Neodiprion lecontei: one gene and its partner. The protein of the gene in region 2 purifies or fractionates together with the protein of the main gene of each other region. This does not show direct contact. Links are inferred from orthologs where the notes say so. Each region holds a gene or a part of one and is shown on either strand. Other genes may lie near its edges.

Evidence for each region.
Region 1: the proteins of contactin (region 2) and neurexin-4 purify together in Drosophila melanogaster (affinity purification with western blotting; 4 studies listed by BioGRID). This does not show direct contact. The link is inferred for Neodiprion lecontei from reciprocal best matches to the Drosophila melanogaster genes Cont and Nrx-IV.

What each region holds. Positions count from the first base shown.
Region 1 is NC_060263.1:7,609,167-7,614,169, reverse strand, and holds the start of neurexin-4, read right to left. Parts: upstream 3,289-5,003; 5' UTR 3,117-3,288; coding exon 3,050-3,116; intron 2,784-3,049; coding exon 2,688-2,783; intron 1-2,687. UniProt on the Drosophila melanogaster protein: Seems to play a role in the formation and function of septate junctions.
Region 2 is NC_060264.1:36,260,832-36,268,981, forward strand, and holds the start of contactin, read right to left. Parts: upstream 6,106-8,150; 5' UTR 5,984-6,105; intron 5,602-5,983; 5' UTR 5,547-5,601; coding exon 4,740-5,546; intron 4,661-4,739; coding exon 4,282-4,660; intron 4,198-4,281; coding exon 4,095-4,197; intron 4,018-4,094; coding exon 3,545-4,017; intron 3,464-3,544; coding exon 3,185-3,463; intron 3,102-3,184; coding exon 2,652-3,101; intron 2,303-2,651; coding exon 1,116-2,302; 3' UTR 1-1,115. UniProt on the Drosophila melanogaster protein: Required for organization of septate junctions and paracellular barrier functions.

The DNA of each region.
Region 1 (5,003 bases), on a different chromosome or scaffold from region 2:
GTTGTTACGTCAGATAATAATAATAATAATTAATCACGTATTTTTAATAAAATATGGGTTTGTCGATATTTAAATGCGATGACAATTCTCATTTTGTGAATACTCGTTCATATTCAACATTATTTACTAATAAAGATAACAAAACTTCTCTAACTAAATCTTTTCTCGGGCTGCTCGGGCTTGGCAAAGTATTTCTTGCAATATTCAAGGTCCAATGAATGAAGGGAAACTGAATTTTCCATTAGCTTTTCAAAGTTCATTGTTTCAAATTTAATACCGCGAGATTCTGGGGCAGATTTGTTTTCTTGTAAGGCAACGGAAACGCAGTGATCTGAATCAAGTAACGATTCCTCAAAGAGCCAGTTCTGTTTCACCCCGTCTAAGTAGAGTTCAGTGTCCGTAACTAACTGACCCGCCACTAAGGGCGAATTTGTTTTGAATGAAATTCTTGATAAATCCATAGTTATTCCTACGCCTATAGCTTTGACATAGCTTTCCTTCAGAGACCAATGTCTGCAAAACATAGATACTTGATCCATTTCAGATTTTGAGTTACCTCCTCTGATCGAGTTCCACTCTGTAGGTGTAAAATTTCTATTCATAATTCGGAAAAATTCAGCCAAGTTTTTACCACCGGTGTACTCTAGCTTCATTACATCGACTCCTAACAGTAAATTTCTAACTTCCCCAGCAATGACTGTGTAGCTTCCCTGATGGGACACGTTGAAGTTTAGATTCTTAACGTCGCCATTCACGAAGGGCCGATCACTTTCATCTCTACCGAACGATACGTCACCGTAAGGAATATTGCCGTACTCATTTACAAATTTACGCATCAACAATCTGCCGACAAGAGAGGCTCTCGCATCTTTTTTAAACACGAATCTACCGATTCTTTCCTTCTCTTCGATTTGTATGCAAGAAATAGCTTTTAGGAATTCGGTCTCACTTGGATCCCATTGCAGCCAATTGAACGCCCATCGAACACTCGACCTTGCCATTTTTATCATAACAAGAATCAGATATGTTGAAATAAGTTACGTTCTTTCTTTTTTCAATATATAAATAAACTGTTTCACAGCGGACTTCTACGACAGGCTCCGTTTTGTAAAATTTTGGGACTTCTTAGTATCCACCTGAAGCAAATATACAAGACGCAATTTTACTTTTTTTCTGGCTATTATTCGATTACCAAACTCAGACCTAAGGTTGAACCTGAATATATGGAAATAAATCAGAGTTGTTGCAAGGTTTGAACTTCAAAATTGTGTCATTTTTCTATGCTATAAAATTTCTTATCTACATGTAAGAAACCAACTGATGTTTTGAGCTAAAAATTATCTACTGTTAAAATAATACCTGGTCACTTTCGTAATGTGGATATAAGTGAAAGTGATACAGGATTGTTACAAATTTTTAATTCACACATTAGATTCTTGCATTACAACTTTTCATATTGACGCTTTCAGTCACAGTCTATGACAGAAATTAGAATTCTAAATAAAACCCATATTAGCGTATAATATTGTCTCAGATCTTGGTTTGAATATATTTTTGCAAATCTTAGAAATTTCTCAGGTTGCAACAACCCTGAGTATTGACGAGGCGATAAAGGCAAGGATTCAAAGAGTTACATGCTTATCTTCTGATGGATGAGTGCTAGTATATCTAGAATGATACGTACAGGGCTGATAGCACTAATTTTGATAAAAATGATAGGAGTGATTACCTGATGTAGAGAAGTACGTACAATGCATTCATCGAGTTGACTAAATACTTTTCGCAATAAAAAAGTTACTTCTATATCTACTGGGGAAACTCAACGTGCGTCGTTTGTTAGCGACTACTTTGTTCGCGTATCGTTTCATGAAAATTTATGTCTCAATGTCACGATGTGTTGAACACTGGTATATTATTAAAAAAAAAGATAATCTTGCTTAGTCAGGGTACTATTCAACTTTGATTTTTTCTTACTATAAAAGCTTAGGCCTGAGTGTTCTGAGAGCAGGAAGTTACGGGAAGTGTACTGTACCATTTTATTGATTTCTTTCAATTGGCTGATCAAGCTTGTTTTAGATATATTTTGTGGTGACAAAAATTGTATAGTTTCTTTAGAACCTTGCTGTTACACGATTAGGTGAATTTTTTTTTTATTACCTACTTGTAAAATTTCAATATGATTATTCTGACCTGACAAATTTGAACGTGAATAGTATAGCATATAATTTATCGTTAGTAGGAACTTGGAGCGTGTCAGATGATTGTAACAGAAGATGCGATCAATACGTATAGAAAAAATTAACAAAAGTGAATTGTTATCAGCCCTGAGTATGTGACATAAATGCTTGCAAGACTGCCCTGCAAACCTCTCGTTTGAATGAACTAATAAACAATGAGAATTTTTTGTAGGTTCGGAGAATAATTAAAATCAAAGAAGTCGATATTTGTGCCAGCGAAGATTCATTGAAAGAAAGTAAATTTGAGATTACAACATCAAGAGTAATAAGGAGAAAAGCTAGTAGCCGACAACAAGAAGAAGCTACGGTATAACAACAACACAGTATTCAAGGCAGGCGTATTTTCACCACATCCACATGTTTGGTTCGATTTTGGATTCAGCTAAACCGACTTAGTCTCGCCTTGTGTCTTTCGACGTAAAAATCAAACGATATTATAAAAATTTTTACCGTTAAGCCTGGCATTTTCGGGTCCTCGTTCGGACAGGGATGATGTAGCCTTTAGTTGAGCCTTCTCAAGCAGTGGCATGCCGCAATCGTAATCATCTGAAAGAAAAAAAAAAACAACAATAAACTACGAAGCGTCAGGTTTTACCTCGGCGTAATTTGGCGAGGATGAGAGAATCAAGGGTTGGATAATTCGTCTTCGGAATAACGTCGCCGCTTGGAGCAAGCCAACGCCATGTTGAGCGTTATATGGGCTTGGCCCAAAGGGATAGTTCACGTTTGAAACAATATTATTTCGTCTATCGGAATCAGAGCTACATGCTTCGGTTCAATTGTTTTCGAATATGCTCGTCGCTTCAACTTACATCCGTTTGTTTTCGGCACTGATACGAGGGTGAAGAGGAGAACGATGTACTTGATAACGCACATCATAACATTGCTTGAATTTGCGGTTACACGGGTTACACCCAACTCTGGTTGACTAATGAATGATCCACGCAATGCCGCGGTCCGAGTCGGTGAGTCGACTCAATCTGTGGCTGTGTGAGGTGGCCGAATGAATAGTCAGACTATAGTTGCCAGTGACGCACACACAGTTGACACTTTCCAAGTTTCCACCCAACGTCTATTGGCTGATCCATACATTTTTTAAATCTATCGGAGCGACATTTGGTGGCCGAAAGTCGAACTCGAGACCTGTTCGACTTTCCAACGCTTTGTAAGCGTTCCGAAAGAGGGCAGCACTGTTTGAATCAGTGATCGGCAGTTGGTTGTGACGAGACAAATGATTAACGCCCCGTTTTTTTCGACACGGTTTATACGACGTTCAATTTTTTCTGTGTAGTTTCGAGACAGGCTGAACTTGGTGTAAACTTTTGATTAACTTTAGAGGAATCGGGGTTTCGAACGCTTGCTCTTGGGAAAAATATCGCGATCATTACTCTGTAAGTAAGCAAGCCTGAGGCTACGTAAAGCCGTGACAGTAATGCGGTAGTTTTTTTTATCGACACGCAATTTCATGTGATACACGAAACCGTTCCGTTGGGATAACAGTTTTCAGTCAACGGTTGTGATTTGTGGACGTTGCTCGTAGTCGGTTCGCATGCTTCCTAACTTTCGATCAAATCTGGAGGCTGAATTGAATCAAATTTAACGATAAATGCAAGGTACAAGTACGAGCTTATTGCATTTGTTTATTGTATCACATAATTTATTCGACTAAACACTATTTCTATAAGAAAATGCTTCCGAAATATTCTCACTACTTTTTGTCTATATGATTTTTAGAATCGATATTTGATACTCCGTTTTCGGAATGTTTGTGGGCGGTTGTTTTCGTTTTCATTTACTCTACGCTTCCTCTTGTTCGACCGTTTTGTATATGTGTGTCTCTTTTTTTCCTCACGTGTTTGCCGAACAAGTGAATTTAATAGAAGAATGCATTTGTTTCGGCGTTTGACTATATTCACGTAAAGCGATTTCAGATAACACCGAAGCAACCCAAACAATCGACAGGCGCAAAAATACTACGACGTTTATGTTCAAATAATAAAAAACGGATTTTGATTCCAGGACCAGGAGATAAGCTGCGGATGAGGGTTTATTGCGGATATACTTGTGTTGTGATAGGCTTGCACAGATCGTCGCGATGCAGAATGGGTGAGTCGCATGAATTTCAACCTGTTATCTTTTTTCTGTTTTTCGTCTGTTGATTTTTTCTATTGGCCATGTGACAAAGCGATGGCTAAATAAGGGAACGTGATTTCATTATGTAGTAGTATTTTCATATTCCACATGTCATATTTATTGAGCAGCAGAATATTATTTACAATATTTTACACACGCAAATAAAACCTAACGAGGCAGGTAAAATTGCCTGTGCGTAATAATGGTGTTTGTAAACTAAAAATTAAGATTAAGGTAACAGGTAAAGAGAATAGAATACGAAACTAAAAAGATAGTATTAAAACTCACATTATTGAGCTTTGCTCGCGTCTTTAAAATTGCATCGATGTACGCCATTTATACTAAATGGCTATAAATAACTTCAACGAAGTTATGAAACTGCTTTTGAAGTTAGCAGTTTTGTAGATCGTGGGTAGCATCAAACCTTTTTTCCTCGTTGTTATAGTGGAGGATTCGAAATTTTGATAATGATAATCATATTGATTGCGTAAAGCCTCGACATCAAACGAACACTTGAGTCTTTGCAGCGTTTTATTCGTATTAGATATCGTTACAATTTTTATAACTCGTTTTTGGAGGGACGCTAATTTATTAATTACATTATTGTAGTAAGATATAGTGAGCAAAAATTTC
Region 2 (8,150 bases):
TACAGTCGTTTGAATATATATTTACAAGATAATCGATTGGAAAATAGAGAGATGTTAGCAACAAATCACTGTTTCTTTCTCAAAATAATTTAGCTGTCATAATATAATATCAAAATGAAACTATTAAAATATCTTGAAATATTTTGAAATCCTTATAATTAATCGAGATTCGCAGTAGCGAATCACTGCCAAATATCGGTAGGCCAGTGATCGCTGCTACATATACTTGTAAGCAGTGTTGGAACAACTCCCAATAAAACTTGAGAAATGTGCTGAAAGTCACGAATAAGAATTTAAATGAAAATCTATATATTACCTACAATTATAATGGACACATGATGATATCTGTATAATTTACTGAAAAAAGAGATAATTGTAACTTTCGGGAGGACCACAGCTAACTGTTCTTACACGATCTCTACAAAATGTATGAGATTGATAATGCATACAAGATAATTGTGTTGGAGAAAACTATGTTGTAAGCGTTCAACACTGCTTATATATATATATATATATATATACGTATTTATTGTACATGGGTATTATATATGTGAATGTGTACCAAGAAGAGGCCGTGAAACGGACCCCTCACACTCGAGCGGAGACTACTGACACCGGTTCATGCACGTTAATGCAAGGCATCAAGTCTCTTCGGATGTTAACACGAGACCTTCTCGATATACTCGTAAAACGTATCGTGAAAATTAGACCAATCTTGGGATGTCTTGGAAGGCTCGATTCAAGATATCTCTACGGTATACTTTTCAACAATCAAGAGTCAGATCTGTAAGTTGTAGTCGAAGCATCAATAGAGAATCACCTCGTCACACTTTTGTAACAGATTGAAAAGTGACAATTATTGTTTAGATGCACGTATGATACCTAATAATAATTTAAAGCTTCTGACTTCAATGACGTTCTCAACATTTGTTCACCTTTTTCATTTTGATATTGTCTACATTCAATAGCTACCGTCAACATTTGATAGCCAATTAACGATGTCTATGGACGGTTACAGAGAAACCTCTAAATTATCAATTATATTTTATGAAAGTAAAAAATTGGTAACGCCTCAAAGTTCAAGTCTGTTTCGAGCGATCTTAGAAAAAAAGTTACTATATGTAATTGATTAATCTTAATAAGAGCAACAATGCCACACCAAGACCAGTATTAAGAATCTTTTTGCTTGCCGAGCTCCTAAACGTATCTGGGTCTCCCATTTGAAAAGTATGCTCAGGACTGGACATCCGTCCATCTCCTCCATTGCTGAACGCCAACACTCTCATGTGGTAAGCTTTCCCAGGACTAAGATTTGTTATATATCCCTCGAGTGCCGAACCAACTGGAACTATTGTATCATTGGCCGTGCTCATATCTTGGTCGACTTCCCACACACGGATTTTGTATCCGATTAACGGTTCTTCCGCCAAACTTGGCTGAACGTAACGCCAAACTACTTTAACAGTGGATGGATTGATGCCATAAACGTTGACAGATGAGGGAGGATTTTGCGGCGCTTTGCGGTAAGTTCTTTCTAGGTAACGTTCGCTCTCTGGCCCTTCACCAGCGGAGTTATACACCATTACTTTGACGAAATAATAGGTGTCAGGCTGCAAGCCAACAACAAGGGCCCAAGGACGCTTCGAACGCGACAAATAATACACAGCATCCTCCTCCGCATTGTCTTTTTTCCAGTACTTCAGTCTGTGACCTATCAATTTACCATGGACTCGTTCTCGCGTTTCTTCGATTGGCAACCAGGTGACGTTCAGACTTGTGCTGTTGTAACTTCTCGCGTAAACCTGTTGCGGAGCGACCAGCGGCATCTTTTCAGCACTGAATATTGTCACGATTTCGGAAAGCGGTCCAAAACCAACATCGTTGGCAGCTTGAACTTGCACCTCATACTGTGTGTAGTAATATTCAGAAGGAATGTGCACAACCGCCATATTCGTGTTCCCGTATTCCTTGAGCGCAAGAGACTGGAATTCTATTTCCTCGGACTTTCGACGCCAATAAATCTTGTAATATATCCCGGGTCCGTTTTGCTCCGAAGATTTCAATGGTGTCCAGGTTATTGTCAGATCCCCGATTTTACCGCCACCGCCACCTATGTTAATCGGCGCCATTCCCGGCTTGGCGGACGGTGTGCTGTACTGAGGTGACGGACTTGACGGATCGCCAATACCTAGGTCATTTATCGCTGAAACGCGAAATTCATAGGTTGTGTGCGGGTTGAGAACATTTTCAAGATATGCTTCTTTACGCCCGTTGTACCTATCGATTTCGATAGCCGTTATGTCTGTAAAATAAAATTGATAAAGATAGTGAAAATTGCAATGCAATAATACTCAATATTGTGAAAGGTCAAAGTAAATTACAGCGCTACCAGAATTGAGTCTCTGGAACCGATAGTATATTGTAAAGATTGGTAAGTATTGCTGGAATCAGACTACTATTGCTCACTTGTAATGATTCAGTTTTGACCTAAGCGAAATTTGATGTGATGGCAATTAGTAATTAAAAAGATTTTTATACCATGAAGTGTCAAAAAACCGTTTCTGTAAACAAGTGTGACATCGCCTGAATGCATATTTCATCAGACATTTAACCCACGATAGTGTAGTACAATTAACGAACTGGAAACTTACTTTCAGATAGTAGAAACCATGTTTCATTCCAATTCGTTCTTGTGCCAACACTATACATAGTGATAGGTCTGCCATTAAATGCTCCGTCAGTCCACTGAAGGGTCACCGAAGTTTTGACGACACTTATGACCTGTACACCTCCTGGCGGACCTGGTGGGCCTTCAACAATAACGCTTGCCCTACTCGATATCCTACCAACTGCACTTTTGATTATACATTCATAGTCGCCGGCATCGGCAAAAGTCACGTTTACTAAATTAAGAAGCCCAGCATCGATCTGTAGCCGTGGATTATTTATCAGATCTTTGTCTCTTATTCGTAGCCCGTTGTGTGTCCATATGTAAGCAACATCTAAGATTTCCTCAGTCTCGGCGCGACAGTATAATGTCAAGTTCCGCATCACTGCAGTAATTGTACGGCGATACAGACTCTCAATAAATCTCGGGCCACCTACAATTTCCACATAACACGTTACTTCCTAAGTCGCAGAGTTTTGACTTGAAGCTTTATCGAAAAATACATCGGCTACTTACGAAGTACAATAACTCTTCCCCGGGTTTCGTCTGTTCCATACTCATTCGAGGCTATGCAGGTGTACATACCCTCGTCATCGCGTGAAACTGGACTTATTATCAGGTTTCCATTTTCAAGCATACGCCTCCTTCCCCCAGAACCAATAACATTCCCATCTTTTTTCCATACAAACTTTGGTCGTGGCGCAGCTTCAGGGTTGCACACTATCGTAACATTCCCACCGTCTGCCGCGTATGTTTCTGACTCCATGGGCCTCTTTTTGAAAGATGGCTTCAGTGCTGCAAGTATACGAAAGATCGAACAATTCTTGTGTCAATATATGGTATTTGAGTATTCAAAATTCAGAAGAAGCAACTCACACAAGACTCGTAATTGACCTGAAGAATACTTTGTTCGAAGCTGATTTCTTGCTCGACATTGATACATCGCCTGGTCTCTCTCAGGATTGAGATTTCTTATTGAAAGTACATTGTCTTGTATGGTGTATCGATCTCTATCCTCAAGTGGCAGTGTATACATATCTAGTATTTCACCATTCCTAAACCACTTGTAATCAACATCAGGAATGCCAAATGCTTCGCAGGTCCACGTTAAATCACCCCTGTTATCCATGTGTTTGTCTACCAGCGGAATTGTAAAGTTTGGAGCAGCTTGTATGGTTAAAAAAACTGAATTTTCTATTGAGGCTCTGTTGTTTGATGCTCTGCAAACATACTCTCCTTGGTCTTCTACTTGGACTCGTGGAATGATTAGGACACGGTTATAGTTGGAATAAACTGCACCACGTGGTAGATCAGCACCTCTGCGTGTCCAATTGTAAGATGGAACTGGACTGAAAAAATGATCAAGTGTTACCAGAAATGTGTGACAAATATCAGGGGTGCAAATTTTTCGACAAACAATGCATACTATCCAAAGGCGATGCATTCAAGCTGAACTTCTTCCCCGGCTACGGGAACTTCAGGAAAGACTTTGGGAAAGTTGTTGGTGAAAGTAAGCTGCTGAAATGTAGCTGAAATCAATGTTACCATGTTAGAGGAGAATCAACATCTTAGTGAAACCATAGGTGGTAGAATTATTAAGAGACAAGACTTACAGTGAGGATTGACTCGGAGCGGGAAAAAAGGGCCATTTCTCCCAGTATCTGATGCAACACTTTGTACATTACATGAATAATTTCCTTGATCTATCGATTCCAAGGCAGAAAAGTAAAGGGCACCGTCGTTGGAAACAAATACACGCTTATCCTCCTCAACAAAGTTGGGGAAGTAATCACGAGTCCAATAATATTTGACACCAGGAAAATGTTGAGGAGGATCGCAATAGATTGCTTTTCCCCAATTTTGATCACCCTTCTCTTGGGAACGTTGCAGATTGAACACTAATATGTATCCAAAAGAAAGCACTACACTTTCTGACACAATTGTGCCAAATTCATTGCTCGCCTTGCAATGATAGGATCCAGGATCTCCTTTCTGAAACATGGTTAAAGAGAGAATGGACAACGATGGGTATTCCCTACTTAATCGCCCGATGTACCTTAGGGATAATTACCTGCTCAGGTTCGTAAATAATAAGAGTTCCTCCGCTGACAGTGTATCGACTGTTTTCCAAAGGGTTGATCCTATTAGCAACCAATCTATCATTCTCATAGATCTCTTTAAACCACTCGTAAGTAGGTGTTGGGAATCCACCAGCCAAGCAGCTTAGAGTGACGTCGTTGGTTAACTTCCTTTTGGACAAGTCAAATACGGTGTCGACCGGTTGCTTAATGAAGTAAGGACCGCGTGGCACTCTCAGGGGATTGTTAATCTCAATGCCGTACTGGTAGGTACGGTCGTCCTGGACTAAATTGTGCATGCTGACAACAGAAGCTTCGCATATGTACAAAAGCTCCTCATTCCCGGTAACCTTCTCGAATCCCCATCTTTTCAGGTTATTACTGAATGTATAAACCAAGTAGTCCTTCCCTTGCACATTATCCAGGGGCTCGGGCAGGAACGCATTATCCATGTTCACGAGCTGGCTTCCATCTGGTTCGTTAGACCAGTAGCCACCCTGCTGCCTGATTCCTGTGTACCAGCGTCGATGCTGCGGATCCTGCCATTGCAACTGATACATGAGGAACCCATGCTCCTCAAGAGAATCAACGCTAACCAGGTCACTCTGATAGGCCTGACAGTTCTTGCGAGCTTCTGCCCGAGCCCTCAAGGGACTCTTTATGAATCTATAGCATGACTCTTGGTGCCTGATCCAGTACTGGGGACATCGATATATCAACTCTCCGTCGCCTAGATCTTGTGCAGCGACAAGGATGACCCAAGTAGTGACCAAAGCGACTTGCAACCAAAGGCCAACCATGGCAGAACAGGATTGGTGTACGGCCAAAGTTCGCAGCTACTTTTATTATGATATTCTAATCAGAAAAAAATAGCATTACGCAACTGTACGGGTCACAGTTTACGGTTTGTAAGCTAATCGAGGATAATTACCATATGAAGAACCGTCAAATAAGATAAAATTACAAGTAATTACATCAGAAATCAAAATGTTGAAATAACAAGTAAAATAATCAATGCACGCTCTTCCGAGAATCGGATTGTTTGATCGTGTGAAAAATTTATTTTCCGTGGTTTCTCGTGATAAAATTTAATACCTAGGGAGTGGCACGGTGCACGACGGGCGCACCGTAAACAATAGTGAGTGAGGCGTTGCGTTGCTCCGGGGTTCAAGCTAAACGCAGTGATACGACTCGTCAATGAAATCAGGAAAGATTATCATATCGCTGTTCCGCTTACCTTGGTTCTTATCAATGTTATCTTATCACAATATCCGGGACACGAGACATCGACACGATTATCGCGCGACAGTCACACGCGACCACTTCTTGGCACTCGTCACATTAGTCAACGGTTAACACGACACGCCTTGAAAAAAATGTTAGATGGTGCTGCCCCCTTGTGGAATGCTCATTAAAGATTAGTGAGTAGCGGTTTCTGACACGAAACATGTATTTGAAACCAATTTTCAAAGTACCCGGACGGTAAGTGCGCGTCGGTAACCCAGTAATACTCTGCCGACTCTGCCGTACTTGGCATGACGAAAGCAGTAGATAATGCAGAGCATACACTTACCATCGCAAACTGCCACTGTAGTGATCGAAACTGAACAATTTGCGAATATTAACATACGATAAGTATTACTGCACCATAAATAACTAATTGACAAACTTCATTTGGAGCCTCTAACTCTGTGAAAAAACTAGATATCACAAGCAGCTTTAGGCTGACCGTAAGCCAGCCCTCGAACTTCCCGTGTTCGTCGCTGCAGATTCCAAGTTCACAGAAAAAACAAAATATTAATATCCATTTCAAATTTCAAACTACATATTCAAATTCCTGATTACCGAGACAAGAACCTTCAAGCAGAGAGCTTCGAGTACTATATCACATGAAAATATGATGATTTTTTTTTTATTTTAAACCACTATAATGGATCCATCGTTACAAATTTTGGCAGTCGGACCTTGGTTCGTCATCGATGACCCACAAGACCTCCGCATACTGATTTCTGCGAAAATCGGAGTATTTCCATATTGCTTTTCCCACCATATTGGATTCGCTAGTTTGAACTTCGCAAATCTGACCTCAGATTCGTGATCAGCGACCTAACTTATCTTCTGTACAAATTTTTATCAAAATCCAGATGTTTTAATTTTTTTTCAAGCATATTGAATACGATAAATTTAAATTTGGCAAATCTGATTTGAGATCCATGATCAGCGATCTAAAAAACCTCGCGGTACCAATTTTTATTCGAATCCGATCATTCCAAAGATGTCGTTATTTTTGTTTTATTTTTTCGAATGTTCTTACATAAATAACTCAAAAAGTACTAAACCGGTCAGAGCCAAAATTTAATTGGTTCTAAGTTTGGAAAAGTCGCGTCGATCGAGACCAAAATCATTGACATCTGATAAGTCATGCTCCAGATATCGTCGGACAAAAAAAATTGATCACATACGTACATACATACATGCATAACTCTATGGATAGTAACTGCATAATGTACAGAATCAGTCGAGGATACAAATAATTAATTTATATTCTCTTGCTATTCGTTTCAACGTCTTCATGGTATTAAACAATGCATGTAGATACATAGGCCTTGGATGGTTGCAGTAAATATTTTATTATATACGGTACGGTGATAGATCACTCGTGATGGAAATAATAACACAATAATAGTAGTAATATTATATATCATGTAATAACGTAACTATAAAATTAACTTGCAATATTTAATTTCCATCAGTAAGTCTATTCAATAATAAAATTCATATTTATAATATATTATATCATCACACGCAATATGACACATCACGGTGTATTTCCCTTCTTCGCTCCTTCTCTCTTATGTCATTGTTTTCCGTTTTAATTATCATATGTATAATAATATAGCCAGCGTATTTTTAACACAGTTTCTGCACAGATGCACCCTCCTCTGCTATTTGTTTATTAAACTTATTAATTATGTAAACAGTATTCATTAACTAATAATCTCAGTCGCCTTGTTTGTATCAACTTATCATCTATTATAGACCGTTTTGTCAAATATACAAAAATCTTAGCGAATCGCAAGTGCTGCCTACGGGACCCGTGCCCTTAGCCTATGCAGATGCATCGCATTTGCCTTCTCGCCTGCTCTGTTCCAAAGATAATATCAATTTCCTGGTCTCACTTTTATGTTCAGTTTCGAATCTGCGATACAGCTCAATTTTATCAAAATTGCAAATTTTGCCTCATCTTGAGTACCAAGCTTCCTCCATCTTTACTCTCTATCCCACACTAAGAGACAACATCATTAAGCTTTGTCCATTCCCGTAACAAATCAATCAAATACAAAAACATATTAGACGCATGCACGAGAATTCCAATCCCAGTTCAACGTGGAATATAACTCTGA